Cricetulus griseus: one gene and its partners. The protein of the gene in region 4 interacts with the protein of the main gene of each other region in a biochemical or structural test. Links are inferred from orthologs where the notes say so. Each region holds a gene or a part of one and is shown on either strand. Other genes may lie near its edges. The genes, in order: Pten, corticotropin-releasing factor receptor 1, Rps6ka1, Magi3, Adrb2 and beta-1 adrenergic receptor.

What was found.
Region 1: the proteins of Magi3 (region 4) and Pten form a complex in vitro, tested with the Homo sapiens proteins (2 studies listed by BioGRID and IntAct, with this or other methods). The link is inferred for Cricetulus griseus from reciprocal best matches to the Homo sapiens genes MAGI3 and PTEN.
Region 2: the proteins of Magi3 (region 4) and corticotropin-releasing factor receptor 1 form a complex in vitro, tested with the Homo sapiens proteins (2 studies listed by BioGRID and IntAct, with this or other methods). The link is inferred for Cricetulus griseus from reciprocal best matches to the Homo sapiens genes MAGI3 and CRHR1.
Region 3: the proteins of Magi3 (region 4) and Rps6ka1 interact in a test that uses a peptide from one of them, tested with the Homo sapiens proteins (2 studies listed by BioGRID and IntAct). The link is inferred for Cricetulus griseus from reciprocal best matches to the Homo sapiens genes MAGI3 and RPS6KA1.
Region 5: the proteins of Magi3 (region 4) and Adrb2 form a complex in vitro, tested with the Homo sapiens proteins (2 studies listed by IntAct, with this or other methods). The link is inferred for Cricetulus griseus from reciprocal best matches to the Homo sapiens genes MAGI3 and ADRB2.
Region 6: the proteins of Magi3 (region 4) and beta-1 adrenergic receptor interact in a test that uses a peptide from one of them, tested with the Homo sapiens proteins (2 studies listed by IntAct, with this or other methods). The link is inferred for Cricetulus griseus from reciprocal best matches to the Homo sapiens genes MAGI3 and ADRB1.

What each region holds. Positions count from the first base shown.
Region 1 is NC_048596.1:28,806,361-28,811,804, reverse strand, and holds the start of Pten (phosphatidylinositol 3,4,5-trisphosphate 3-phosphatase and dual-specificity protein phosphatase PTEN), read left to right. Parts: upstream 1-1,610; 5' UTR 1,611-1,728; coding exon 1,729-2,551; intron 2,552-2,651; exon of another isoform or gene 2,652-3,567; coding exon of another isoform or gene 3,568-3,614; intron 3,615-5,444. UniProt on the Homo sapiens protein: Dual-specificity protein phosphatase, dephosphorylating tyrosine-, serine- and threonine-phosphorylated proteins.
Region 2 is NC_048600.1:117,186,533-117,192,149, reverse strand, and holds the start of corticotropin-releasing factor receptor 1, read right to left. Parts: upstream 3,760-5,617; coding exon 3,736-3,759; intron 3,642-3,735; coding exon 3,554-3,641; intron 1-3,553.
Region 3 is NC_048595.1:19,424,101-19,428,722, reverse strand, and holds part of Rps6ka1 (ribosomal protein S6 kinase alpha-1), read right to left. Parts: intron 1,560-4,622; coding exon 1,398-1,559; intron 1,205-1,397; coding exon 1,128-1,204; intron 1,013-1,127; coding exon 895-1,012; intron 1-894. UniProt on the Homo sapiens protein: Serine/threonine-protein kinase that acts downstream of ERK (MAPK1/ERK2 and MAPK3/ERK1) signaling and mediates mitogenic and stress-induced activation of the transcription factors CREB1, ETV1/ER81 and NR4A1/NUR77, regulates translation through RPS6 and EIF4B phosphorylation, and mediates cellular proliferation, survival, and differentiation by modulating mTOR signaling and repressing pro-apoptotic function of BAD and DAPK1.
Region 4 is NW_023276806.1:52,924,889-52,929,898, reverse strand, and holds part of Magi3 (membrane-associated guanylate kinase, WW and PDZ domain-containing protein 3), read right to left. Parts: intron 3,630-5,010; coding exon 3,491-3,629; intron 2,723-3,490; coding exon of another isoform or gene 2,673-2,722; exon of another isoform or gene 2,632-2,672; intron 2,069-2,631; coding exon 1,008-2,068; 3' UTR 1-1,007.
Region 5 is NC_048595.1:176,927,757-176,932,273, reverse strand, and holds Adrb2 (beta-2 adrenergic receptor), read right to left. Parts: upstream 2,795-4,517; coding exon 1,538-2,794; downstream 1-1,537. UniProt on the Homo sapiens protein: Beta-adrenergic receptors mediate the catecholamine-induced activation of adenylate cyclase through the action of G proteins. The beta-2-adrenergic receptor binds epinephrine with an approximately 30-fold greater affinity than it does norepinephrine.
Region 6 is NC_048596.1:4,712,788-4,717,338, forward strand, and holds beta-1 adrenergic receptor, read right to left. Parts: upstream 2,567-4,551; coding exon 1,166-2,566; downstream 1-1,165. UniProt on the Homo sapiens protein: Beta-adrenergic receptors mediate the catecholamine-induced activation of adenylate cyclase through the action of G proteins. This receptor binds epinephrine and norepinephrine with approximately equal affinity.

The DNA of each region.
Region 1 (5,444 bases), on a different chromosome or scaffold from region 4:
CCGCGAGTACAGATCTACAGAGGGTCCATCTCATTAGCAAACGAGATGCGTCAGATGCCCTCAGGCCCAGCCTCTTCTCCCACGGTTGAGAACGCGCGGTGTGGGCAGACCCAGAGCAGGACTCTCGGCCTTCTGGCTCGCTCCATGGGTTGCAAGCGAAAGGGAAGCGCAGGCTGGGGACTCTCCGCGTCACCGTGCACAAACCGGCGGCGGCCAGCAGAGAGGGGTGGCCGGGGCACGTGCTTGAATGTGGGTGCTTGTGTAACCAGCTCCCCAGGCGCTTGGCCCCGACAGCGCTCCTGCGGACCGCTCGTGGGTGCCGCTCTCCGCTCCGACCGGGATGAGCAGGGGTCCGGCTGCCCCCACCTGGGGTGACCACCTAGCAGAGCAGAAGGGTCCAAGCTCTTGCCTCAGGAGCACACAGATAGGGGAATGGGAATTTGGAAAGTTCCCCAACTAGGACCACACGTGACCTCCTCCTGAAAGTAGTTCCGACCGTGGCTCGTGTATCCTTCCACCTCGCCTTTGAGCCCTCCCAGGCCTGCTCGCCCCGCCCACTCGCAGGCTGCAGCTTCCGACCCTACCATACTCCCCACCCCGGCCCAGTAACCGGCTCCCGGGCCGTGCACGGTCCGAGTGGAGCAGAACCTGGCCACAGCGATCCAGTTCTGCTGGGTTTTCAAAGCGGCCACAAACGGGAGGGGATGCTTAGCCACTTCAAGACGGAGGCTGGCTGATCCGGTGGACCCACGGCTGCGGGGAGCTGCGGGACTCGCCACCCAGCCGCAGAAGGGTGCGTGTGGGGTGCACCCTCTTCACGGAGATGCACTTCGTGTCCACCCAGGGGTGTCCTCTGGGCCCCGGATACTCAGGGGAGACGTGTAGGTACACGCCCCGTATGCACAATCATCACGCTTGGCTGGGAGCGTTCACCTTTCGAGCAAAAGATCCCAGCCGCCTGGGAAGCGAGAGGTGGGGCAGGGAACCCGAGCCCGATGAGGTGACCCACGCGGGAGACACAATAGGGGGTTGTTCTTTGTGCAAAGCCTGACACCTTGAGGACACCGTGGCGGGAGAGGTGCACCATCTAGGTAAAGGCTGTCGCTGACAAATCCTAGCGAAGCACTGCAATCTGACCACGGCGCGGGGCAGGGGACGCAAGCCGCTCCAAAGGAACCCAGGGGCGGGCGGAAGGAGGCGGGATGGGTGTCCCTGCCGCAGGGCCGTGCCCCTGAGGCTCCTGAGACACGGACCAGCACGACCAAGCTGGTCCGATCCACCGGAGAGCAGCCAGCGATCCCGCTCGGCGCAGCTCTCCGCGGCCACAGCCCGCCCTACCTTGGCCGGGTGTCTGCGAGCCGCGGCCGAAGCCGGCGCAGCTCCGGGAGACAACCGCGGTCACACTGCGCATGCTCCGCGCCGCGCGCCGCCCCGCCCCCGCCCGCCCGCGCCCCGCCCCCGGCTCCGCCCCGCCCGCCCCCCCCCCCATCCCTTCTCTCCTCCCCTCCGGCTTCGGAGGCGCCCGGCTCTCCTGGCGGGGCGGCGGAGGGGGCGGGCCGGCCGGCCGGCGCACGGTGATGTGGCGGGACTCTTTGTGCACTGCGGCAGGATACGCGCTTGGGCGTCGGGACGCGGCTGCGCTCGGCTCTCTCCTCTCGGAAGCTGCAGCCATGATGGAAGTTTGAGAGTTGAGCCGCTGTGAGGCCAGGCCCGGCGCAGGCGAGGGAGATGAGAGACGGCGGCGGCCGCGGCCCAGAGCCCCTCTCAGCGCCTGTGAGCAGCCGCGGGGGCAGCGCCCTCGGGAGCCGGCCGGGCGGCGGCGGCGGCAGCGGCGGCGGGCCTCGCCTCCTCGTCGTCTATTCTAACCGGGCAGCCTCTGAGCGGCTTCGGAGAGAGACAGACGGTGGAAGCCGCGGGCTCGGGCGGGAGCCGGCGCAGGCTCGGCGGCTGCACCTCCCGCTCCTGGAGCGGGGGGGAGAAGCGGCGGCGGCGGCCGCGGCTCCGGGGAGGGGGTCGGAGTCGCCTGTCACCATTGCCAGGGCTGGGAACGCCGGAGAGTTGCTCTCTCCCCTTCTCCTGCCTCCAACACGGCGGCGGCGGCGGCGGCACGTCCAGGGACCCGGGCCGGTGTTGAGCCTCCCGTCCGCCGCCGCCGCACCCCCCCTGGCCCGGGCTCCGGAGGCCGCCGGAGGAGGCAGCCGCTGCTGCGAGGATTATCCGTCTTCTCCCCATTCCGCTGCCTCGGCTGCCAGGCCTCTGGCTGCTGAGGAGAAGCAGGCCCAGTCGCTGCAACCATCCAGCAGCCGCCGCAGCAGCCATTACCCGGCTGCGGTCCAGGGCCAAGCGGTAGCAGAGCGAGGGGCATCAGCGACCGCCAAGTCCAGAGCCATTTCCATCCTGCAGAAGAAGCCTCGCCACCAGCAGCTTCTGCCATCTCTCTCCTCCTTTTTCTTCAGCCACAGGCTCCCAGACATGACAGCCATCATCAAAGAGATCGTTAGCAGAAACAAAAGGAGATATCAAGAGGATGGATTCGACTTAGACTTGACCTGTATCCATTTCTGCGGCTGTTCCTCTTTGCTTTTCTGTCACTCTGATAACGTGGGAGTAGACGGATGCGAAAAATTTCTGTAGTTGGGGTGACTATAACGTTTAATACTGGTCACATTTCTAGATCGTCAATTTTGTGTGTCTCTCCCGGTGTATTCAACCTAGGGAGTGTTCAGCTAGACGGAACTCATGCCTGCTTGCAAGTGTCAAGGCACGGATTGGTTTCTTGTCTAGCTCTGTGGTCTCTTCCTAAAATCTATTGTCCGTGAATGCAGAGTTTTGTACATTGGATTAACGAGCTCGTTAATCCAAGCCTTCTAAATGAACCAAATTAGACGCTGGTGAGGTTGTGCTTATTTCTATTAGATCGTGACTTAGGCCCTAGATCTAGGGTGTAGATCAGATTAAAATGAAAGTCCGTGCTGCACGAAGGCATATTACCTCAGAATCTTGCAGTGATTGTTAGTTTCCTGGGTTGCGTTGATAGATTTTTCTAAAATGTAACTTGTGGACTGATTTGCATAACTTTATAAGCATAGTCATCCTCAGAGTAGATGGTGCACTTTTGAGGGTAAAAGTAGGTTTTGTGTGTTTAAACTGGGGTAATTACTTACCACTTTGGAACTACATGTAGAAGTTCTGTAGTTTGAGATCAACAGTGCCAGAATTTGCGTTATTGGAGCTTTTAATAGAACTTTGTTAAATTAGACTTTGTACGTGGGATGAGGCATGAGCTTTGCATTTCAGCGGTATTTTACATTCATTTGGCTTTGCCATACATGATGGGATAGAAATTGAATAGTTTTTGGTCCCAGGTGATGTCCGTGTGAGTTCAAGGATATTGTGTGTGGCGAATGGTTGCAGAGGTTAAACCTCAGCTCTCACATGAAATTTAACTATTATCGTGAACAGGAATTTGCTGCTCAAAATTTTTGTGTTTCAGGTGCTCTGACCCGTTGACTGCCCATGGGTTTTACCCTGATTTGTATAGAATGTCAAGTATAATTTAACCAGCTAATGCCCAGAAATACTAGCAAGAGTGGATCACTGACTTCAGATTGTAGGTATGGTAGCTTTTTAAATGCAGTAATTTCCTGAGTCAGCTTGTTGAATAAGACAGAAACCCAAGAATTTTTAACGGTGTATAGTTCTGATTGTCTAAAAGTTAGGTCTTTGTACTTCAAAAGTTCGTGGTTATCTTAAAGCATTTATCTTTGCAGTTTCAGGTATGGTATTGGTTTTGATCAGGGATAGGAAGAGAGCCCTCCTTTTTTGGAGGAAGTATTGACAGATATTGAGAGCTTTTGGGAGGCCGGTGTGTGAAGAAAACACAAGTTGCTGCTCTGAAGTGACAGGGCTTTTGTTACGACCCCAAATTATTTTTTCATGTGACTTGTAGCAATGAGCAGAATTTAGTTAAAATTATGTAATTGCATAATTGTTAATAAGATAGTCTTAGTAAAAGTTAATTATTAGTAAATACCAGCAGACATTTCTTAAGGTAGAAGGTCAGAGACTTGTCTATACATGTCCTGATAATAATAAGAGCATTATGGAGAGGCTTTTTTTTTTTTTGTAAGAAAATGTTTTCATTTGGAAGAGGTTTGGTTTTTTTTTTTTTTTTTTGATTGCATTAGCAGCATATAAACATGCATAGCTAATTTTGACCGAGTTTTTGTTCTGAAATGAAGATGAAACTCACTGAAGAACTGGCTTTAGAAGTAGGCTAATTTTCTGTTAAGAAAATCTTTAATCTGTTAAGGTATCTTTAATTTTGAAGTTTGCATTAATTTTCAGTTTATATTTCAAAACTTTACTCTGGATGAACTTGACCTTTTCTGAAATGTAATTGTAGAAAATTCTGGGTTATCACTTGCTTCAAGGCAGTTGGTATAAATTAGTGATAGTAATCTAGATATAGAAGGAATTAGTCCGGTATCTGTTTAATTAAAAAAAATAGGCCCTCATTCAAAGAAAAATCTGAATGCCTGGTAGTCAGGCTTCTCTTACCTTCCACAGTACCCTTATGTTTTGCTGTTCCCACTTGATTTAAAATTATCAGGTGTGTCGGACTTCAAGATTGTTTTGCCAAATTTTTATGTGTGAGCAGTGACATGATTGCAGTTCCTTATTTGATTGCATAGTACATGGGCTTCTGCACGTGCCATTTCTGTGAGTTAGAGCTCTGAAACTGTACTTTTAGTATAATGTGCATAGAAAGCAGTATCAAATATTGCATCAAATGACTAATAACACTTAATTTCTAGAGCTGTGGTTTTATTGAGCCAAATGTTGAGTCTATAGGGAGAAAGTCGGTGAAGCCGTTGCTCTTCTGAGAGTTGTCCTCCCAATGATTTTGATAAGCCAGAGGGGCTTGCTTGATTCCTCATCAGTGTGTTCTGTGTTTGGGGGCAGGAGTTAAAATGCTCATTGAAGACTTGAACTGGTCAGTGTTGGCACCGAAGCTGGCCAAGTTAAGTTCCTTTCTGAAACTAGTAAATGGGATATTTCTATTCGCTGTAGAAGGGTCAGCAATCAGCAATGATGTACTTTCTCAGGAAAGCTGTGTTTTCAAATCCTCTGCAAAATTGAATTGTTGTAAGAATTTGTTGGTTGGATTTGATTCTGAGCAGTCTAGAAAATAGGCTGAATGTGAGATTGCAAGATTTCATGTGTTTAAAGCACATGCAGAGCTCAGGCTTCTGTTACAGGCCTTTGTTTGCTAGATTAGGAACCCTTTCAGATACTGATCACGGGAATATTAGTACCTTGAAGTGATTATTAATGTTTGTTGTTTTGTTAAAGGCGAGTGATTGTTTAAAGTAATTCTAGTTTTTATTTTTTAATTCTACAATCTTTATCTTACATTTTCATAGTCATTTGTTTCTTTCCTG
Region 2 (5,617 bases), on a different chromosome or scaffold from region 4:
TGCACTAGTCCACAGAGCCATCTCAGCCAACCCAAAGCTCAGAATTGTAGGTCAACAACCCCTACAGGTGCAACTGCCCCAAACAGGCTCTGTTCTTCCCCTCTTGGGTGGGGATGGTATTGTCCCATTTCATTATCAGAGTTTTGAGATGAGGAGCAGTTTGGATCAGGCCAAGCCATCCTACTAGCCAACCACACTCAGCAGCCCAAAGCAGAGCGGGTAAGCAAGGATCAGGGGGCTAACTCTTCCTATGGCCCGCTGGCCACCTACGAGCCACTTCCTGGTCAGTTACTGTGTGGAATTTTAAATTATTCTTATTTTCATACAATATATTTTGATCATATTCTTTTCCCTTTCCCAACTCCTCCCAGGTCCTTCCTGCTTCCTCCTTACCAACCCGACTTTATGTTCTTTCCCTCTCTTAACAAAACAAAACAAAACAATTCAAAATACTCAAGTCACCTAAGAAATGGCATGAACTAGAGATATAAAATGAATGAAACAGGTCGGGCAGTGGTGGCACATGTCTTTAATCCCTGCATTCAGAAGGCAGAGGCAGGCGATCTCTGTAAGTTTGAGGCCACCCTGGTCTACAGAGCAAGTTTCAGGGCAGCCAGGGCTACACAGAGAAATCCTGTCTCGAAAAAACAGCAAAACAAAACAAAACAGAAAGAATAAAAGATGTCCTGTCCCAAGGGTGATTGCATCCTAGCGGGAGACAGAGTGATTGAGCAAGCATGTGCTATCCTGTGAGAAATACTACAAACAATGTACGGAAATAAAGACGAACTAGATGCTATTTTAATTTGGAGTTTCTCTAAAACACTAAGTTTAATTATGAACTTGAAGGGAGGGAGGGAGTCATGGGCATAGATGGTGAAGAGGGAGCAGCCGATACAAAGGTCCTGAGGCAGGTGTTTGCTGAGGTCTCTGGGGTTGACATTCTCGTCACTGTGTCACGCAGATAACAGATAAGGGCCCTTTGAAGGGTGGCCCAGTTTCTGCTTGTGCACAGTTGGGCACTGGTTTCTTCTGTCAAGTTGGCCACACAATTCCCTCCCTATCAAGCTTAGTGCCCTAATGTGCGCAGAGGGCCCTCGTGCTGTAGGTAATGCTGGAAGGAAACTAGAACCATGCTCCTGTCCCAGTTAGGAGTGGTCTTCCATCACACGCTTCTGAGTGAACCACAGAGGGTGTGAGCACTTGGCAGCCCCCTTTCAGGTAGGAAGATCTGATCTACCTATCTGATTTGAGACTGGGGACACTCCTCCGAGGCTTCCTGGGGAGCAGGAAGGTGCTCTAGGGCAACCTCAAAGATGGGTACTCCTGCTAGGAGGAGAGTGCTCTGGGATGAAAGGGCAGTTGCTCTGTTTGGGTGACACGGCACAGACAGAGGCACGGGGCAGGCAGGCAGTCTTGGCACCTCGGGTTAAGCTGCCTCTTTAGCAGGGTGAAGAAAGGTGTCTCTGTAGAGTGTGGGCCACACGAAGAGAGAGGTAGAAGCCTGTGAGGCTTCCTGCCTTGTGCTCTGACCACTCCTGATGTTTGCACTCAATACCTTGTAGAAGTCCAGGCACATAGTAGGTGCTGAAGAAACCATAGGGCCATATACAAGTTTAGTGTGCTCAGGGAAAACTGCAGGGCTGACACTGCACCTCCAAGTGACACTGTGTCTCCAAGTAACATTGGGCCCTGGATATGACAGATCTCTTAAGTGACCACATAATGTATTAAATCTGAAATCAGGCTCAGTTGGCTCAACCCCTGTGGCCAGTGCTTGGCAACTGTGTGTGCTCAGTCCAAGTTACTCAACCTTTCTGAGTGTAAGGTTCCTTTTCTCTAAAGCGGGAACCAAAATCCTTGCTGAATCTATTGTGATGACCGGATGAGGCTGAGCACCTAGAATTGTGCCCAACATGAAGTGGACATCCACACGAATCAGCTGTTATTATTACGGTTTGTTGTTCATCGTTACCGCCTTAAGAACAGCGATGGGAACTAGTGACCCCACGTCCTCCTGAGCCCTGACTCCACTTATCTGGGGTGTTACTAGTCAGTAATTCTATTACTTTCTGGCACAGTCATACTCATGCCATGATTTTATAAGTTGCCAAGTCTATAATCTGTCACATGATGGGGGCCTTGGCCATGGGAACCTAGCCCCTCCTTACTTCTGGCATGAGGCATGTGCAAGGCCCCCAAAGGTTTCAGCACAGTGCCAGCCACTCGGGCCAGACGCCCATCCATCTGTCCCGGGCCCTCCACCCCACTCTCACCATCTGTCTCTGCCAATGCCCATCAGATGACAAATGGCCAGAGCGGAGGCCACTGTGGAAGGTGATGGATTGCATCCTATGGAGCCAGGCAGGCTGGGAGGGGGTGGGGCATCCAGCACAAATCACGGAAGAATGAACATCATCCCTCACAGCCTGCTGCCTCCAAGGACAGGTGACACCTGTGTGGCTCCAGGGTGTCACTTCTCTTGAATAGGAGCAAGTTAATGGAGCCTGACCTGGCCTGGGGTGGAGAGGAGGGACGGGGACCTTTCCTCCAGGCATCCTCCCTGCCTGTCCTTGGCTGCCACTGCTGATAGGCTGAGAGCAACGCACTCCCTGCTCAACCCAGCCAGTGGGTAGTCCAATGCTGGGACGGCCAGGGCCTTCTTCACCTTGGTGAGTCCTTCTGCCAACTTAGCCACTGGTGTTCAATCACTGACTGCTCTATCTCTAGGCTCACTTAAAAACCCCTCCTTCAGGAAGGCTTCTGGGATTTGCCCTACCCCTATCCTAGCCTCCCTGACACCCTCCGTTGTAGTAAGCAAGCAATCGTAGGGTGTACTTTCTCTTTCTCCTAGGTGCACAGTAAGTACTTTGAAAAAGCTACCCATGATTATACCCAGTAGCTGTCTGGATGTTACAGCTTATGAAACAAACCTGCAAAACTCAGTGCATTTAACCTCAGGATCCCCCTCCCTCAATTTGGGCAAAGCAAAGCCCAAAGAAGTCCAGGGCATCATCTTCCTGTGAGTACCAGTATTGGGAACTGAACCCGGGTCCTCTAGAAGAACGCGCAGTGCTCTTAACCACTGTGTTATCTCTCCAGCCCCTTACCTAGAATTTTCTATTGGGCAGGTATTGAGCATCACCAGGGAGCCAGACTGCCTTTGCAACCCAGGCTCTAGCACTTAGTGCTTGTCTGTGCCTCAGTTGCCTTTGGAGTCAGATGGGTGACAGGATCTCAAATCCCTGGTGCTAGCAGCATGTAGCCTTACTCTCCAGCATATTTAGCAACAGCAGCAGCCTTGGACCTTTTGCCAATATCCTCAGCAGTGAGGCCTGGAGGGCTTTCCCCTGTTGCCCCCTGGGATGGTGACCACAAGGCACCTTTGCTGAGTGTGTTTCCTGTGCCCACAGACGAGGCTCCTGGATAACTACAGGCCCCTTTACCCTCACTGACTCCAGTTCCAGAGATTTTTCTATACAGGTCGCTGCTCAGAGCTCTAGGGAAGGAGATCCTGTGGGAACCTGGGAGCTAAGGGGCAGGGATGACTCACCAGAGACATTGCTGGCCAGGGACAGGCTCTCACAGCGCTGGTCTTGCAGGGAGGTGGAGACAGGGTTCAGCCCCAGGAGGAGAAGGGCCTGTGGACACAAGGGGGTACAGGACACTGTTAGGGGGGTACTCATCAGTCTGAGCTGATGATTCTTGCCCCCCCTCCTCTGCCCAGCATCCTACCCTTGCCCAGTCTCCTGGTCCCATCCAGAATGTTTGAAATTGCCTGGTTCACGCAGGGCCTGGAATGGAGGCACAGACCCCAAACATGTCTAACGCGGTCGCTCCAAGTGCATGCACACACATTTGCACACAACCCTCCACCTTCCTTACCTCTGTGGTATTTCAGGCCCGTGGTTATGAGCTCCTCCTGAGCCTTCATCCCTGTCAATGACTACCAGTCATTGCAAATTGAGCCTCATGTTTCAAGCTCTTCCGATGTCCTGCGATATCTACAATGGCTTAATTCACCCCGGGGACAGCATGGATATGGCTACTGAAGATGGGGAAACTGAGGCGCTAAAGAAATGATTGTGTCTGGGAAGATGGGTCACCTATTCCAGGGAAGGCCTTTAACCCTACTGAGGGCCCAGTGTTACTCTGACTCCAGGGTTTCAGCCATGAGTCCTATGACCGGAAGACGATCCCTTCTTGAATGAACAGCCCCACCCCAACAATGATGAGCACTTTCTTGGGTTACTATCCTCTCTACAGGTGGGAGTCTGGATGAGTGGGCCATGTGACCTCTCCGGGCCTCAGTGTCCTTGCTCTAAAGCAAGTGCAGGCCTCCCCTGTGTCTGTGCTTACACTGTATTCATTCTGGCAATGAGGCTAATGAATGATGTTTTTGGGTACACAATGGGCGCTCAATGAGGATTTACATACTCAGTAGTTGTTAGCTGACCTAACTAGGGAGGTGGAGATGGGCTGGGGCCTCGTCTGTTGGGATTCATTCTGCAAATGGGGTCCAGAAGCATGTGGGGTGGGAGAGGGGAACTACGACAGGCTGTCTTTTCTCCACTGGGGACCTAACCACCGTGAGAAGAATCCCCAGGTAGGATGGCAACCCTGGGAGTGTTCTCCACATAGTCACCCCACTCTGCTCTCCTGTTCCCTCTTTAGGGGTCCTAGGATCAAGAGGATTATCAATAAGGACCACCACATCCAGCTTGAGAAGCAAATGGAGCCCTAGTTTTAATTTGACTGTGGATGGGCTAAGTCAGTCTCTCTCTCTCTCTCTCTCTCTCTCTCTCTCTGTGTGTGTGTGTGTGTGTGTGTGTGTGCATGTGTCCCCATCTGTCTATCTGTCCATCTGTCTGGCTCCCTTCAGGGGCCAGTCCCCCCAGCCTCACCAGTACTCACTTCCCCTTCTGTCATATATTGATGACAAAGGCAGGCTCTTCTGCCTTCTTTCCCACCATGCATTTGTATTCCTGACCACAGCCTGGACCCACTCCCATAAGAGCCATCCCTAATCCTGGTGACTTACAGAGCCACACTATACCCTTAAGTCCTTAGTGGGCTTTCATCCATTCCCCCACCTCAGGCACCCTCCCTCCATCTCACCCCAGGACTCTTACTGACACAAGTATGAAACTCAACAGTCTCCAGTCCCCCCATTCTGTGCAGGTACAGGTGCTGCTCTGCTATCAGCCCTGGGGACAGGGAACTCACTCCTGGGCCTTGGCAATGATTAGAATAAACCCTTTAGTTGTTCTGGCCCCGAGCAATTTCCCACACTTTATTAATCAGTAATTAAGCTTCCCAGTCTCCAGAGGGTGAGGAAATATCATTGGCCCCATTTTCAATGCAAAGGCAGATGTGGAGAGAAGAGGAAGTCATGGGTTAGCTGGTGGCTCTTGATAGCTAAGCAGAGAGCAGTGTCCTTCTGACAAAGCTACACAGTTCACTTAAGAGTCAGTAGGAAACCTGTGCTATCCCCACAAATAGGTGATGGCTGCTGGGGTTAGAGGTCCCTTCTAGAAAATCCTGCTTCCCTTCACCTTCTAACCCCACACAAATCAATATCAATCAACCAATCAGTTTCATTTCAGCCACCGGCAAA
Region 3 (4,622 bases), on a different chromosome or scaffold from region 4:
AAGAGTTCAATAGCAGCCTCGGCTACGTAGGCTTGAGGGCCAGCAAGGGCTGGGAAAGACCATCTTCAATGTAAAAGTCAAGCTCAGTGCTCACCACTCTCCCCGAGGCCTGGAGTTCAGTTCCCAGCACTTGGTAGGAGGCTCACAACAGATGCAAACCCAGCTCCAGGTGGCCCTGTGCCTTCTGGCCTCTGTGGGCACCTGGACTCACTCACATGCACATTCCCACACACATATAATTAAAAATAAAAATAAGGCTGGGGGTGGTGGTGCACAACTTTAATCCCAGTAGTGGGGAGGCAGAGGCCATATCTGGATGAGTTTAATGCCAGCCTGGCCCACAGACCTAGTTGTAGGATAGCCTAGACTATGCAGTGAGACCAAACAAACCAAACCAAACTCTGAAAGTTACAGACCCTCAAACAAATAAAAATCCTAAACTCAGCTCTTCTACTCACCAGCCTGAGTATCCTGGACAGTTACTTAACTCTGTGAGCCTCAGTTTACCCGTCTCAAACATTGGTGCTTCCATGAAGGTTCGACCTGATTCTACTATACAGGGTGTCCTGGTGATTAGAAACTTCACAGTGTTCTAAGTTCAAGTATAGTCTCCTCTGAGAAGGCCTTCCACAGGGCACAGGTTCGTCTGGCCATACTGGCTACCGCATCAACTTCCCACAGAGAGGAACAGGGTTGGGCAGCTCCCCGCATCCTTTCGGGACCAGAACATGGAAGGGCATACGTCTGGGAATCTTCTACTTGGGGCCAGACTGCAATGGGGATTTCTGGAACATTCTACTTAGGAGAAAGGGGCTGCAGCAAGCCCATTCGTGAACTGCTGACAAGCCCTGACGTTGGCAGCCTGGCTCTGTCCTCCGGGCCTCACAGACTCACCTTGGCTGTCTCTGAGACCGTGTTCCAGTTTCCCCCGCTGAGGGTGAACCTTCCACTGCCGATCCGGGTGAGGATCTCCTCCGGTGTGTCGCTGGGCCCATTGGCAAATGGAGTATATCTAGAGGAGTTCCCGAACCTGGCTTTAGCCTCTGGCCTCCACTGTGGCACCGGGGGTAGGTTAGGAGGTTGGCAGCTCCCAGAGGCAGGGCCATGGACCCAGACTTTACACTCACCCTGCCAGCATGGTGTACAGCAGAATGCCCAGGCTCCATATGTCACAGCCTTCATCGTAGCCTTGACGTTTCAGCACCTGGCAGGAGGGGGATGGGATGGGTGTGGTCAGGCTCAGGGACATTTGGAAATGATCAGACAGATCCCAGAAGGGTAGGAAGCATGGGCTATAGGCCTTTCTTGGTGCCTGTGACAAGGTCATGAACACTGCAGTTCTAGACAGCATGGGGCCTTTGAGAGCAGGCACCTCAGCTCCTATCACCCCCACTAACCTCAGGGGCCACGAAGTTGGCTGTGTAGCAAGGCGTCATGAGAAGCCCATTCTCAGCCCGAAGCTGCTTCGCAAAGCCAAAGTCACAGATGCGCAGGCACTCAGGGTTCCCAGACTCGTCCACATACAGGATGTTACTGGGTTTGAGGTCCCTGTGGACAACCTAGGGACAGAGGGCTGGGTTAGGAGCTACTAGTGACTCATGCCAACTGTCAGAATTGGGAAAGTCACACAGACTGGAACACAGACCCTGAGAGGGAGGGAAAGTGTTGAAATGGGCCCTATGTCAGTATATTTCCTTAAAAAAATGTGTGGTGGTGTGATTCCACCCTGTGAGTCCCGGGGATCACACCTAGGCCGTCAGGCTTGACAGCAGGCTCCTTTACATGCTATGCTGGACCACCTCACCAGCTTTGTATTGTCTTTCTGAGATCTCCGTGAAGACGCCTGTGGCTCTGAGCCCATCCAAATGTCTCCCCTTCAATCCACTCTTCACCTACTCTTCTGAGGTAGCTCCCTCTTACAGTATGTGTTCTTTTCCCTCCTTTTTAAAAAATTTTCTTTCCCTGTACATCTCAGCCATTTCACCAAAAAAATCTGCTGGCGCTGCTCAGGCACTCCCAGCCCCTCTTCCTGTTGGGGATGCTGTCCCTAACACCACCATCTGCCTGGAGACTCTGCTGTTGCCAGAGTGAGTCCCTTAAACGTTAAGTCAAGGGGTCAGCGAGATGTCTGAGTGGGGACAAGCGCTCCCAGAAAGTGTTATCCTAAGTGTTAAGTGTTATCAACAGAATCCACATGGTAGGAGCGGAGAACCTACTCCCAAAAGCTGTCCTGACAGCCACATGCATGTGCTTCAACAGTATGCGTGTGCACAGACAAACAGACAGACAGACAGACAGACAGACACACACACACACACACACACACAGACTATAATAAAAATGTAAAGAAGAAAAATGGAGGACTGGGTATGCAGCTCAGTGTTACAGCATCCTGCAGGAGGATCAGAAGTTCAAGTTCATCCTTGACTACACAGTAAGTTAGAGGACAACCTGAGTTACACAGTCCTTGTAAACAACCAACCACCCAACCCACAAAAGCAGGGCCAGAAGGATGGATTGACAGGTAAGAACCCTGGCTAAGCCGGTGGTGGTGGTGGCAGGAGGCAGTGGCGCACACCTTTAATCCCAGCGCTCGGGAGACAGAGGCAGGCGGATCTCTGAATTCAAGGCCAGTCTGGTCTCCAGAATGAGTTCCAGGATAGGCTCCAAAGCTACACAGAGAAACCCTGCCTCAAAACAAAACAAACCCCCCAAAAATATCACTTACAATCATGATCTCACTGGGGCTACTCACCACACCTCAGTATGTAGGCAGGTGACATTTTACAGGAGGCAATGGAGACCCTGAGAGAAAAGCTGACTTGTGACAAACAACGGCAGGACTTTAACTCAGCCCTGACCATGGATGCAGGGTCTTTTCAGTTTAGTGTGGCATAAAGAACACTTTTGGGGAACAGAGACAGGGAAGTTTGTGATATTACTCTGCCCTAGCAACAAAGAGATGAGTAACTGACAGGAACTGTGCCTCACCATGGCTGGAACAGAGGGGGTGGGGCACAGCCTGGAAAAGCGACATAGTATTTACTGGCCATCAGGTGTGTCCATTATCACAGAAAGTTACAGTAGGCCAGGCAGGCATGAGAGAAGTCAGACGGAGAGAAAACACAGCAACCAGACTAAACACTGTTCCTGGGGACTAGGTGACAGTCACCATGTAGCAACTCAGGCCCAATATTTTAATATTTTATTTTCCTCCTTCTTCCTCCTCCTCTCCTTTTTTTTTTTTCGAGACAGGGTTTCTCTGTGGCTTTGGAAGCTGTCCTGGAACTCGCTCTTGTAGACCAGGCTGATCTCAAACTCACAGAGATCTGCCTGCCTCTGCCTCCTGAGTGCTGGGACTAAAGGTGTGCGCCACCAACGCCTGATGTACACATTAACTAAAAGAACAAATGTAATCAAACACTGCCATTTTGCAGGTCTAGCAAAAGAATTGATTCAGAGGCTCTGCAAGGATAAAGCCACAGACGAGGGTCTTCCCAATGAGGGAATGGAGTCTTCCCACCTGGCTTGAGTAGTCAGGGACAACACTGAGGCTGTGCCTGCGGATGCTATCTATGCAGGATCAAGTACAACGTCACACCGAGAGACAAGTGACCTCGCGCCCCTGCCTCCACTTCAGGGCCCCACTGTTCTACATAGCTAGCTCAGGTCCTGACTGGCCTCTAGGTATGAGTAGAGGAGAAGCTGAGCTTTCGGACCTGTGAGGACACATCCCAGTCACTAAAACATGGACCTGGAGGCCAACAGTTGGATACAGTCACAACAAGCCCATTTCCAGAGTTCTCCTCTATAGTCTATAAGGACAAAGAAAACTGGAATTCCTCAAAGGCCAGTGGCCTGTAATAGTTAAGTATTCTTGCTGGGTCTATAATCCCAGCCCTGGGGAGGATGAGGTAGGCTGATCTCTGTGAGTTCCAGGCCACAGAGTGGGTTTAGGAAAAGCCTGGGCTACATAGCAAGTTTCAGGTTAGCCTAAGTTATATTACAAGACCGTGTCTCAAATATAATAAACAAAAGCAGGGCATGGTAGTAGCGTACACCTTTAATTCCCGGCACTGGGGAGGCAGAGGCAGGTGGCTCTCTGAGTTTGAGACCAACCTGATCTACAAAGGGAGTTCTAGGACAGCCAGAGCTACACAGAGAAACCCTGTCTCAAAATACAAACTAACAACAACAACAATCAACAAAAACTAGGTAAGCCTTCTATGTGATTCGTTTGGGTCCCAGACCTTGGTTGGCCTTCTCAACCTTATTCCCACTCTCCCTGCAAGAAAGTAAAGTAGACTTCAGAGTTCAGGGCAGTGTGCCCCTAGCACACATGAGGACTTAGGTTTGATCCTCTGCATGGACAAAAAAAGACCCTTTCTCCCACTCAGCAGCATCAAAGCACAGAATGGTGCCGATGGTGAGGCATAGTACTGAAAAGGGCTAGAGGAGCTACAAGTTTCAGTTTACGAGAAACACTGACAGGAATGATGTGAATTACAAAGTAATGTAAGTGGTGCCGGCAGGAAACAACAAGCTCAGAACTCAGATGTTCCAAGGAACTACTGATCTCTTTTACATACACATGGCTTACAAATAGGAAACTCTCACACAGC
Region 4 (5,010 bases):
TCCAACACATGTGGTCTATAGCATATTAGTCCTGACTTGCTGGGAAAGCCGAATGCAAGCACTGCTTCTAAATCCCTAAAACTCCTGCATCGGTCCCAGATAAACTTCTTTCTCTATGCCACAGGAGCTGGTGCTTTATCTGACAGTGGATTGTAGAACTGACATGATTAAGTCCCTCACAAAAATATCAATTATGTATTAAAGACTAATGATTAATAATCAAAATATCCAGATAGTAGCTTTTCTTGGAAGAGAAACAAATGGTACTTCCACAAGCTCCTGCACTTCTCTTCCTACGACAGGTGATCTGAGACACCGTAGCTACATTAGGGTTGGCTACTGGCAGGAGTTTGTTCATTCTGCTGGTTAGTACTTCCTCATTTTGAGCATTCAATTGTAAGGACTATCTTTAACAGTTACTTGAAACACCTTACTTAGCCATAAAAAAAGCATCTTTAATATTTGATTTTTCCTGTAATGTAGTGATCTTTCTGAGTTGCATTTTTAAACTAGGATGGTCAGAAGCTATGAAAATCGGCAAGTGCCAACTTTAATGATGAGCTAACAATTTCTTCCTCTGCAAGGACTCAAATATTTCTCTCTGTAAGCATGCAACATGCTATTGGAAACATCTTCAAGCTAAACCGAACTGTTTCATGACTGGAAATATCAGAATGGGAATGATAAAACAGACATGATACAATAGGTAACTTGGCACGAATACAAAGTGAGTTGTAACCATACTGCTAAGATCATGTCATTGCTGAGCGGGCAGCCTGAGCAGGGCATGGCAGATGAGCCCATGGCTGCAGCTCCTTCCTGAATGTGAAGAAGGGCAGCCAGCCAGGGCCAGGTGGGTCTTAGGAATCCCAGAAGACTTTCATGCAGTCTGTCTAACTTGATGCTTCAATTAGGTATTGAAGACTATCTGGACACCTTTCCCCTTAAAAGAATGCTGTGTTTGAGTAAAAAATTACAACTTAATTTTCTTTGTATTATACAAAAGGTCATAGCTGTTTGTCAGCCATGCCAGCAGGGCCTATGATTTTATTTGCACGTGGCACTCTCCAGGGCCCTGGAGTGATGGGAGCTTTTTTGACTGGAGAGCTGTTTTCAGGTATGCCCCCTGCACGCTCCTTGCATCTGTCAGTGGCCTCTGGCTCTTTCCCTTTGTGATCTTCTGCTTTACCTAACGTCATCTTCTCTTCAGGTTCCTGCTTGAGCTTCTTTGCTGAGATCTGGACATTTTCTCCTGTGGTTGGCTTCTTTCCTTTTTCCTTCTCAGACACCGCCCTACTAGCAGTGTTGCTGATCTTTTTGGATGGAAGAGATGTTTCATCAACTTTATTGCTCTTTTTCTCTGGAGACCTTGTTCTGGTTTTTCCAAGTTGACTCTGCTTCAGATCTTTCCTGACAACACCCGATTTTTCTTTCCCATCTGGGAGCTGTTCAGTACTGTCACTAGTATGGCCTGCTGCCCTTTGGCTTTCAGTGTTTGACGGGCCAGTGCCTACAATCTTTTGCTGATTCTTGGGACTAGAAGATCGTCCTCTGCCTTTTCTGCAGGGATCTTGTCCAGAACCCGCCTTAGTGGTGATCTGACCTTTAGTCTCTCCTTTCCTAGGGCTGAGTGACCGATCTCTAGATTTTCCTTTGGGGTCACTTTTTAGGGGCCTGGGAATCTTTTCCAAATGTTCCTCTGAATGTTGATTAGCTGACTTTTTGGGACTAGCAGATCTCTCTCTTCGTGTGACACCATTTTCTCCTTTTAGTAGATTCTTCTCACCATGCCTTTGACTACTGGGTGGATCCTTCTTACTCACATTTTTCTGGAGAACGGTCTGATGCTTCATTTCAGGCTGGCTTCCACTGAAAGTGCTTTTCTTTTCTGGTACAGTGTCCTTTAGTTCTTCTGCCTTTTCACATATCTGAACTCTAATCAGAGAGTCTTCAGTTACTGGCATGTGAGACTCTTCAAATACGGAAGCAGAATGTGAAGATGGGAGAAGTGGTGGCTGTTCATCATAAATGACATTGGAAGATGAAGGACTATTAATATCCCAATCACCTAAAAAGTGATTGAGTAGAACACAGTTACACTCAAGAATTATGAATAGGAACAGTGAGTTTTGAACTTTGACAGCCATTTGAATATGTTACAGGTTGCATAGCCCAAGGAGGAATATGTTACATAACTTGTATATATTTAAGTCACTTTCTGTAAAGGCAGATGCTTATAGATATCTGCTTATGTATGAAGGGTAGATTGTTATAATAATTGTTTCACTTATGTACTGTTAGAGGTGATATATGAGCTGTAAATTATTCATAAAGCCAAATAAGATAGAAATAATAAAATTGGACCAAAGTACCTGGTCCAAGAAACTTACTAATTAATCTATTATTACTGTTTAACTTAAGGATATGCCAAAATCACTAGTGAAAAAAGACCAGACTGTGGTAACCCAAATGAGGTTTATGGGCACTGTAAATAATTTTCTTGTTAGGCTGTCAAATTTAATGTCAAAAGAAGACTGAAAAAGTGCAGAAGACAGAAGTAGATGTATTTAATAGCATCATTTTAATTAAAAAGAAAATGAAAGAAGTGATTTAAAAGACATGCAAATTTACCAAGTCTTTTTAAGGAAAGACCAAGAAAAGCCCTGAAAGCCTTAATGTTGCTCAGGCTTCACGTAGGAGCACAGACCGGAAGGAGCCAAACCTGAAGAAGGAAGAGAAAAAGCCTAGGACTATGTGAAAACAAACCAGCACAGTTAGCACAGATGTCATGGGAATGTGTGCTGTATGAGCAGATGGTGAAAGGTAACACAGCCAGAGAATCATAGCTGGAAGGGACCATAGGAGGTTATGTCTACATTTACTCTACAACAGCTCTGATGGGGAGCTATGCAGGGAGACACATATAAAACAGGTGTGGTACTGCCTTTAGTTCGGATCATGCATTCCCAAAGTGATTTTTAAAACACTGACAGTTCAAAATATATAATAAAGCCAAGGGCATTTACCATCAATACAGGAGTACAAACATGATCTTAGATTTAACTCCCTATCTCCAGGTAGTAGGGCTACAGCAACTTATTTTGATAAGTGACTAGAAAATCCTAAAGTTCTGGCATTCACTCATTGAGATAAGCTTACTTTAAGAAAATAATATTTATTGGCAAAGTGTAATTAGCAAAGGAGAAAAAAGCTGGGTTATTCTAAAGACATTTGTTTGTCTCTAATGTTCTCATATTTTATAGGCACATTTCTCTCCAAAAAGCACTATTTCAGATGAAATAAAGGTAACAAATGCTCTACTGCAACAATTATACTATTTGGAAACATCATTTGCATTATAGTAACTTTCTTAGGTGTTTCTGGTGTTCATTTCTAAATTAGCCAATAAAATGTCCATCTCTTCCAAAGGGGTATTCCCTTTCCTTCTGCCATCCCCTCCCCAGCAAGAATGCTTAGCTACTTTACTTACCATGGTCAGGTATCAAGCCAGTTCCTGGCCTCAACAGGAGTAGGACTTTATTTCCACCAGCCTGAATGAGCTCAATTGCTCGAGTATGTGTGATGCCTTGTGTAGGTTCCCCATTGATTTCCACAATCTGGTCACCAACCTGGACAAGAAACATTTACAACTGTATGAAACAGCAGGATTTTTCATTTCTACATTGTCAACAGAGCCCTTCAATTCTGCTAACTCACTCTTACTTGTAAAATCTTTAACCTGGACAGATAGCTAATAGGTGGACAGATGACAGCAATAAGGAGAGACAATGCATGATTTTATTTACTTTATAAAAATTCTACGTGGGAAAGTTTTATGTGGCTACCAGTCAGTATCTGAGCCTTAATCAAGAATCAAATTCTGATTTTCCCACATGTGTGAGGCCCTGAGACTGATTTCTAGTAAGGCAAAAGGAAGAAATTTAAAAAAATCTAGTTTTCTGCCAAAAGTTAAGACAGTAGAAAAAGTGACATTTCTATATTAACCTAAATACAGCACAGAGCAGCAACTAAATGACAATTTGTAAAGGGTGCTTTCAAACACAAGCTAATAATCTTGACTTGGTTTAGTAAAGCTGGGGCAGGTGATTGTTCATCACTAAAGCTTTCCTGAGAGATTGGCCATTCTTTGTATTGCCAGCTATCCTGTCCTGGTATGAGGCCTTAGCTAAGTGACTTATTTGGAGATTACAACTTATAAAGCTTTGAGAATACATTAGTATGAACACTTATTTAAACCAATTGCTGGATTGCATATAGTGACTTAAACATAAAGTTATTATCTTGGGAAACAAACAGAAAACTGGGACTAAGAGTATGATACCATAATGCTGGTGTCACTTACCAGAAGTGTTTGTTTGTTTGTTTGTTTGTTTATTTATTTATTTATTTATTTATTTTGGTTTTTCAAGACAGGGTTTCTCTGTTTAGCTTTGGAGCCTATCCTAGCACTCGCTCTGGAGACCAGGCTGGCCTCAAACTCACAGAGATCCGCCTGCCTCTGCCTCCCGAGTGCTGGGATTAAAGGCGTGCGCCACCAACACCCGGCTGAAGTGTATATTTTAAAAGAAAGTGAAAAAATACGGGGAAATTTAATAGTAAGGAACATGAGTAAAGATGTTGTGATTTTTTTTAAAGCTCTATATTAAGGTGACATGCAACTCAGGGTATTTATTAACTTTAAAATGAACAATGAGATATTATTGAAAATAAAAACCCAAATATTCCAAATATTTGTAAGATCATAAACAATCCACAAGTAATGTGACAGAAGAGATGCAGTAAGTATTTGATGGGCTGGAGAATGGCTCAGTAGTTTAGAGCACTGGCTGCTCTTCCAGAGGACATGGGTTCAATTCCTAGCACCCACATGGCAGCTCACAACCTCCTGTAACATCAGTTCCAGGGGATCTAATACCCTTTCTGGCCTCTGTGAGCCTGGCAAATACATACATACATGCAAAAAAAAAAAAAAAAAAAAAAAAAAACCTA
Region 5 (4,517 bases), on a different chromosome or scaffold from region 4:
GTCAAAACTGAGTGAACTGGGGACAAAAAAACAAAACAAAACCCAAAAACCTTCTCCCTTCTCCTAGGTGTCAAAAACACAGCATTTGTAGTAAATAGCAAAACCCAGCTAATTTATATTTTCAAAGTCTACAACAGGCTTTCTGCAAAGGACTACTTTGTCCTGAGGGGTAATAGGTCATGGCTGAGGTTATTTTGGTCTATGATTTATAAACTTGAGGGGTGCCACTGGAATTAATTGGGTGCAGGTCTGCTGCTAAATATCCTATAATGCATGGGAATGCCAGGCATGAGAAAGCCTGATTTACAAAGAAGTGCAGAGAATCAGGGGAGAGGAGACCAGGAAAGCGGAAGAAGGGAGAGGCTGAACCCGTGTTCAGGGTATGAACTATTCACCAGCTATCTTTGAAAGCTTTGCACTCTATGACCAAGGTCTCTGATTTCCCTTGGAATTCTGAGATTCCTGAATAGCTTTACACAGAACATCTTCCTCATCCTGAATACACCAAGCCCTGCTGCAGTACAAAGGGCACTACTGTAAAAGATGCCAGTGATATAAATCCACACAGTTTTTAAACAAGGGCTGGAAGGTAGGTAGCAGGAGCATGTGGGACAGAACGTATGCCCAGAACACACACTCTCTCCTCTCTCTCTCTCTCTCTCTCTCTCTCTCTCTCTCTCTCTCTCTCTCTCTCTGAGTCAGGGTTTCCGAGGTGACAGCACAGAATAGCAACTGTAGGACACACTGGGTTATGCTGAGAGCAGGCAGAACTGATTTGGGGCACAAGTAAAATTAGGAAAGACACAGGTTTGCATTTGGAAATCCAAAGGCACATGGGAGGGCTAGGCAATCAATGCATACCATTCTGGTACCCTTCCACATCAAGACACACAGCAGTTATGACACATAGTTACCTGTGGTTTCCAGTGGGAAAGACAAGGACACTCCAGAGTCAAGAGGTTTTGGAGAAACAGGTGCAATGAAATCATGGTCAAACAATTTATTTACTGTAAACTTTAGACTTTGCTCAGAAAAAAACAGCTGAAGCTGTCCCTCAGATCACTGCCTACAACACTCCATTTGAGCAAATAAGTGGAGCGGGGGAGAGTATATATTCACAGCAGAAAGGTCCAAGACACAGGATTGTCAAGTCCAAGGGTACAGGAAGGAAAACTTCCTTCTGATACAAATTACTAGCAGCAATAATAGTATACCCTAACACTTGACCAATGAGGTAGATGCATGGAAAAATCATCTAAACGTACAGACAGTCCTCTAGGACCAACACGCTTCAGACAGAAACTTTTAAGTTCCGTGCAAAGAGGAACTGAACTGCACAAGAAACAAATAAGCACTCAAATACAGCTTCTCCCCCTCTCTTGTTTTTGCAGCTTAAAAAAATAAAATAAAAAAGGGCAGAAGGATGTTCCCCTTCTGCAAATCTCTATACAATTTTATTCTAAAGTTATTACACTCAAGTTAAATAGTCTGGTTAGTGTCCTGTCAGGGAGGGGTCTTAAAAAGCAGAAAGCCTGCATTACAGTGGTGAGTCATTTGTACTACAGTTCCTCCCTTGGGAATCAAGGCTAAGGCTAGACACAGTACCTTGACAGTTCGCAAAGCTTTCCGTGCCTGGGGTGTCCTCACACAGCAGTTCACTTTCTTTTTCCTGCCCCAACTGACATTCACTTGCCTCCCCCATGTAGTCTGTTTTGCCATTACTGTTGGTGGAGTAGCCATTCCCATAGGCTTTCGCAGAAGACCTGCGGAGGCATAAAAGCTCCTGGAAGGCAATCCTGAAGTCTGGACTCCGACAGTAGATCAGGGGATTGAAAGCAGAATTGACATAGCCCAACCAGTTAAGGAGGATGTAAACTTCCTTAGGGATGAGGTTTTCCTGGATGACATGCACGATGTTGACAATGAAGAAGGGCAGCCAGCAGAGGGTGAATGTGCCCATGATGATGCCTAAAGTCTTGAGGGCTTTGTGCTCCTTCAAGCAGAACTTGGAGGACCTTCGGAGTCCGTGCCCACTCCGCCCATCCTGCTCCACCTGGCTGAGGTTTTGGGAATGGAATCTTCCCTCAGATTTGTCTATCTTCTGGAGTTGCCTTTTGGCCACCTGGAAGACCCTGGAATAGACAAAGACCATGACCACTAGAGGCACGTAGAAAGACACAATGGAGGAAGCAATGGCATAGGCCTGGTTCGTGAAGAAGTCACAGCAAGTCTCCTTGAGATAGCAGGTGATGGCTTTCTTGTGGGTGGCACGGTACCAGTGCATCTGGATGGGCAAGAAGGAGGTAAGGCCGGATACAATCCACACCATTAGGATGACCATTCGGGCCTTATTCTTGGTCAGCAGGCTCTGGTACTTGAATGGCGATGTGATAGCAATGTAGCGATCCACTGCTATCACACACAGGGTCTCAATGCTGGCTGTGACGCATAACACATCAATGGAAGTCCAGAACTCACACCAGAAGTTGCCAAAATTCCACATTTTCATAAGGATGTGACTGGCCCCAAACGGCACCACCGCTAGGCCCATGACTAGATCAGCACACGCCAAGGAGGTTATGAAGTAGTTGGTGACGGTCTGTAGTCTCTCGAACTTGGCAATGGCTGTGATGACCAGCACGTTGCCAAACACGATGGCCAGGACGATAACCGACATGAGGATGGCCATGCCTACCACCCACGCTTCGTCCCGTTCCTGAGTGATGTCGTGGTCCGGCGTATGGCTTCCGTTGGGTGTCAGCAAGAAGTCACTGTCGTTCCCGGGTGGCCCCATCGCTGGCAGACTAGCAGGTGAGTGCACTGGCTTTGGGCGCCCTGGCGCTCTCAGCGGGTGCACCTCCGACGGGGCACAGCCTGCCGGGGACGGACTCCTGGAAGCTTCATTCAGCGGCTGTAGGTGGCTGTGCTGGGGGCGCGTTCTGCACACTCAGCTCGTGGGGTGCTCTGGGTTCGCGGTGCCTGCTAGCTGCAGCCTGAACGCTGGAGAAGCAGTCTCGCAATGCTCCCTGCCCGTTATGTGCACCGGACTTTAGGGGAATTGCTTGGTGACGTGCAACAACTTTGGGCCAATGGTACGGTCGCATGCCCGGAGGGGCGAGGCACCAAGGGCCAACCCTCCCTGCCTAGCCCGCCTCCTCCTGGGGTTGGTCCGGGCGGGGCCCCAGTGCTCCCCGGAGGCCAAGCCACCACTCCCTCCCAGCTACCCTAGTGGGGCCTCAGAGACAGAAATCTGGAGCTGCTGTACGATCCACCAACCAAGCGCAGTCTGGAAGTTCTTCTACCTGTCCGTGCAGGTCACCTCTGCGGGCTGAGGTCTCTGGATGCAGGTGGCACACAGCGCATTTTCCTTTAGGAACAGAGAAGAGAGACTGAACAAGCACACTCGGACACGCATACACAGGCACAAACGCACTCGGCCGACGTGGACATGCTCAGACTTATGCCGCACCACAGCCACAGACACCGAGACACACCCGCGCCCACTCACGCTGGAGACGACAGCTGTCTCCTGGTCCAATGCAGAAAGGTGGCTAAAAACAAACACAGGAATACCTAGAAACATGCAGAAAGAAATGTACACAAGAGCTCATGTGGAGATGTGGTGTGCGGACCATTCAGACACCCATGTCCACATCCAGGTAGCATCCTCCTGAAGCACTTATAAATGACACCCTCTTTTCCCATTCCCAGACTCTCAGTATATTCCCTTACAGTTATTTGGCAAGAGCACAGGAGGTGACTTCAATAGCTACAGTTTCTCTGCACACTTTTTGAAAAATATGTTTTGGCATCCTCCCCCCTTGAGACCTTGCAGGCATCGAGGCAGTAATTTACCCTTTGTCTTTCATTAGGAGTTCAAGTATTTACACATTTAGGGGAGAGTTAGGTGGTTTTATTTTATTTTTAATTCTTGGGAGTGTGGCATCATTTTCTTGTTATATGAGGATGCATTGAAAATGAAAATGTAATATTTTCCTTTTACATTTTTAAAAGTTAAGTTAAATTCATTTATTTTACACATATGGGAGTTTTATCTCTAGGTATGTCTTTTCATTGTATTTGTGCTTATTTTGAAGGTCAGGAGAGAGCATCAGATTCCATAGGACTGGAGATACAGAAATGTACCAGCTCATAAGCTGACATGTGGGTGCTGAGATTGAACCCTGGTCCTCTGGAAGAGCACTTAATGTTCTCTTAACCACCGAGGCACCTCTCCAGTCCAGATAATTTTCATTTCAAAGAATTTCTTCAATTACTCCATTGAAACTATAAAAATATCATTTCATGTGTTGGCTGGATAATTTGTTAATCTTTTAAGCTGTGTCATGTGAACTTGCTACTGTTGGACTTGCTACTATTGTTTTAAAAAAAACCCATAATTTCATATAACATTATATTAAAAACATGCTCTCTGGAGACCATTTTAAAACTACAGAAAGTAAATGATAGTTGTTTCCCCCCTTTAAAAAAAATCAGACAAAGACCTAGATTCATGA
Region 6 (4,551 bases), on a different chromosome or scaffold from region 4:
TACAGTTACAGTACCATGATAAGAGTATAAAAAGTAAGTTCCCAACAAAGCATCAACTCAATAATGTAATGGACAAGAGAATTGAGTTTGAATTTTATTTTAGCTTTTTAAGATCTGCCCACCTCCCCATCCCATTAAAAATATTTAATTTTTGTGCAAGTTAACGTCTTCTATGGACTTTACAATGCCTAACACTGTGCAAAATGACATTCTCAACCACTGATTTTTTTTTGTCATCTTTGTTTTTAGCCACATGTGCAATAATCTCAACTGTTTCCTTTTTTTTTTTCTGTCCTATCTTCAGTTGACAGAGTCACATGTCACAGAGAGAGACTCAGCGCCTGGTCCTTCCAACTAATATTGATACATAAATAAGCTGTTTAATATAAACAAGTCTTTCTATCTTGCTGTGCAATATGCACAGAGTGAGGTAGAAAACCCTCAGCAGGACCACCGAGGCGCGCAGGGGACAGGGTTTGCCCTCCAGAAGAAAGCAAGGTGAACCGTGTTTCACGAATAGCTTAACGTTTCTCGAAACCAGATTTGTCTGTTTCCGTATCCATCTTTTCCCCTTTGCTTTAAGAACCGGAGACACCAGTACTCCGGAATCAATATGCAATTTCTTTAGAAAGCAAAAGAAAACATTTCCTGGCTAATTATCACCGCTCCCACCAGCACCCCAAACTGGAGCTGACTACTTAGGTTCCTAGATGTGGAACCGGAAGCCAGGTGGTAGACTTCATTCCCCCTTTACCCTCCCCACCTAGTTTCCACTCCGGTCCTTGCAGAAAATGTCAAAACCCATCTGGAAAACAAAACAAAACAAAAAACAAAAGCTAAAGGTGTATCACGAGAACACACAAAAGGCCGAACCCCAGAGAGAAAGGAACCCAAGACAAATCAGAAAGCCACACTCTCCCAACTCCTCCCAAACTTCCCTTTTTGCGCTGCGGACGGTCCGGGGCTTTGCTGTACGTCTGGGATGATTCAGATTCATCTGTGAGTTCACCTGCTTTCGGTCTTGAGTAAACAGAGGTCTCCTCCCTCCTCTGCGGAGCGGCTCAGGGGCGCCCGGCAAGCTCTCTTCCTCTAGGGACGCGGAGCCTGTGTCCAGGCCGGGACCGTGGGGCCGGCGTCCGTGCGCCCGCCGGGAGAGCCTGGCTCTCTACACCTTGGATTCCGAGGAGAAGTCCCGGCGCCCCGGCTCGTCCAGGCTCGAATCGCTGTCCACAGTCGTCACCCCGCCGTTGCAGCCAGCCCAGGGCTCCAGCAGGCGCGCGGGTGCCGTGATCCCCGCATCGTCTTCGTCGTCGTCCGAGGGAGCTCCAGGGGACGGCGGCGGCCCAGCTCCCGCCAGGCAGCCCGAGGCGCGCGGCCGGTCCCCGTGGGATGCGCGGCGTCTGCGGACGGCCCGGCGCGCGCAGCAGAGCAGGCGCTGGAAGGCCTTGCGGAAGTCGGGGCTGCGGCAGTAGATGATGGGGTTGAAGGCCGAGTTGGCGTAGCCCAGCCAGTTAAAGAAGACGAAGAGGCGATCGGGCACCAGGTCGCGGTGGAAGGCCTTCACCACGTTGGCCAGGAAGAAGGGCAGCCAGCAGAGCGTGAACACACCCATGATGATGCCCAGCGTCTTGAGCGCCTTCTGCTCGCGCAGGGCCACGAGGCGCGACGGCCGCCGCTTGCTGGAGCGCCCGTTGGCCAGCGAGTCTGCGGGGCGCGGCGGCCCTGGCGACGGCGAGGGCGCGGGTGAGGGCGGCCGAGCGGGGCCGCCGAGGAAGCGGCGCTCGCAACTGTCGATCTTCTTCACCTGCTTCTGGGCCTCGCGGAACACCCGCAGGTACACGAAGGCCATGATGCACAGGGGCACGTAGAAGGAGACGACGGACGAGGCGATGGCGTAGGCCCGGTTGGTGACGAAATCGCAGCACTTGGGGTCGTTGTAGCAGCGGCGTGCCTCGTCGCTCTCGGCCCGCCACCAGTGCATGAGGATGGGCAGGAAGGACACCAGAGCCGAGATGGCCCACACCGTGCACACGAGGGCCCGCGCTCGCGCGCGCGTCAGCAGGCTCTGGTAGCGGAAGGGCGACGTGATGGCGAGGTAGCGGTCCAGGGCGATGACACACAGGGTCTCGATGCTGGCCGTCACACACAGCACGTCCACCGAAGTCCAGAGCTCGCAGAAGAAGGAGCCGTACTCCCAGCGGCCCCACACCACGATGGTGGCCCCGAAAGGCACCACCAGCAGCCCCATGACCAGGTCGGCGCTGGCCAGGGACATGATGAAGAGGTTGGTGAGCGTCTGCAGCCGCGGGGTCTTGGCGATGGCCACGATCACCAGCACGTTGCCCGCCACGATGAGCAGCACGATGAGCGCCAGCAGGAGGCCCATGCCCGCAGTCCACGGCTGCGACAGCGGCGCTGAGCCCTCGCTGGTGGGAGGCAGCAGCGAGGCGGGCGGCGACGCGAGCACCAGCAGGCGCGCCGCGGTGGCCGCGCCGTCGGGCAGCGGCGCGGCCGACGACAGGTTGCAGGGTTCGGAGGCGCCCAGGGCGAGCGCCCCCGCGCCCATGCCGAGCTGCGGAGGCCGGGGGCGGGGGGTGTGGCGGGGCTGGGCCGCGGCTGGGGAACACCCCAGGAGCCGGGGCTGCGGGGCCCGCGCGGGAGGTCGCGGCCAGGTCAGGGCAGCCGCGGCTCGGGGCCGGAGGCATGGACTCCGAGCGCCTTCTCCGCCGGAGCCGAGCGCTGTCGCCGCCGCCGCCGCCGCCGCTGCTGCTGGAGCCGCTGCCGCTGCTGGAAGAGCCGCCGGGACCTCAGCATGTTTCTGAGCGCGCGGGGCCGACAGCTCCGGCCCCACACCCCACCCCGCTGCCACCCCCCTAGCCAGCCCCGGGGCCGCGCGTCAAGCTCCCGCAGCCAATCGCCGCCAAGGCACGCCCCCGACAACGGTGCCCCCACCCCCCAACACCCGGCACCCCCTCCTACCCGCGATTGAGCCGCTCCAAAGATTCCGGGCGGACTGCGGAGCCAGCATCTCCCCGGCACCCACCGGCTGCAGCGAGCGCGCCCTTTCCGGCTCCGGCAGGCTTCTACCGGAGTCGGGTCTGCTGCGTCCCCGCCCCCTCCAGGGGGTCCCCGCTCGCCCCAGCACCAGCTCTCTTTTTCCCTCGGCGCGGCGCGGCTCCCGCCCTAGCTCTCCTCCTTCCCACCGGCGCCCCGCAGCTCCCGCGCCGCTCTGCCTCCTCTGCCGAGTTCCCTGCAGCGAGGAGGGAATCTTGTTGGCGTTCTCAAGACGCCCAGTGCCTTGAACAGCCTGTCTGCTGGGGTTGGAGGAGTTTAGCTGTGAGACTGGTTCTGCCATCAGGCAGCCTGGCCCTTCCCTGCTCGAGAGGGGACCCGGCCAGCCTGACAGCTTGGGGGGAATGGGAAGTGGGTGTTCGTGGTTAGAGGAAAGTTTCCAGCCAGGCCGGTTGCTGGAGCAGAGCGCGCATCTGTCAGAAAGGCTCTCTGGCTGTTCTCGCTCAGAGCTGTGCTGTCACTCAAGCCCAGTCAATGGAGAAAGGAAGTGAAGGTTTCTGGGTGTTAACAGTCAACGCCAGGGACCAGTTGGACACACACACACACACACACACACACACACACACACACACACACACACACACGCACGCACGCGCGCGCACACGCGCACACGCGCACACGCGCACACGCGCACACGCGCACACGCGCACACGCGCACACGCGCACACGCACACACGCACACATACACACACACACCTCCCAACCCCAGCCAAGGAGAATGACGCCACGGTGTGTGCCGAGTATGAAGGAGAAGTTTGCAACATGCAGTCTAGAGTAGATGACACCACCGCCGCCACCCCGCGTAGAAAGGACACACCGAATGACGCTTCAGAGTTTTTGGCTCTGATTTTAACACCTTGACACCTGCATTTGTGCTCTGTCGCGCCCATTGGGTTTTATAATCCGAGCTGAGTCAACACAAGGAGCTATTCCTTTTGGTTGACGTCATGAACTAGGATTGCAGATTTCTTGGGTAGGGGAGCTGTTTTCTCCTTTGCCCAACTTCGCAGATTCCCCAAACCGTGGGATTAGCTTTAGAAAGACTAGGGAAGAAAATACATAAACACCCAAGGCGATTAAATCTGAAAGTGTTTAAAGTTAGGTCGCGTTTCCCCCTTCACATTGGCAAGTGAATATGAAACTAGAGTTGTTAGCTTTTTTTTTTTTTTTTCCTAGGTGGATTGGATGCTGGAAAGCGAGCATGAACCTCAGGGCTGGGGTGGGCTCCTCTGATTTGCCCCTGGGGATATCCCCCATCTCAGGCTTTAAAAAGGAAATCTGTAATTGAGTTCTTGAGAAGCAAACAGTTTCCTGTCATCTCAGAAGGTGCAATGTTTGCTAGTCTTCCTTGCATTGGAATAGAAAGAATAGCACCTGGAAGGAACAACCACATGTGGCCAGCAGCCACAGCTGTTTAGAGCAACGATGACACCATTTATAAAGTCAAACACAGGGATGTACTCGAGGCTAGGGCTTGAC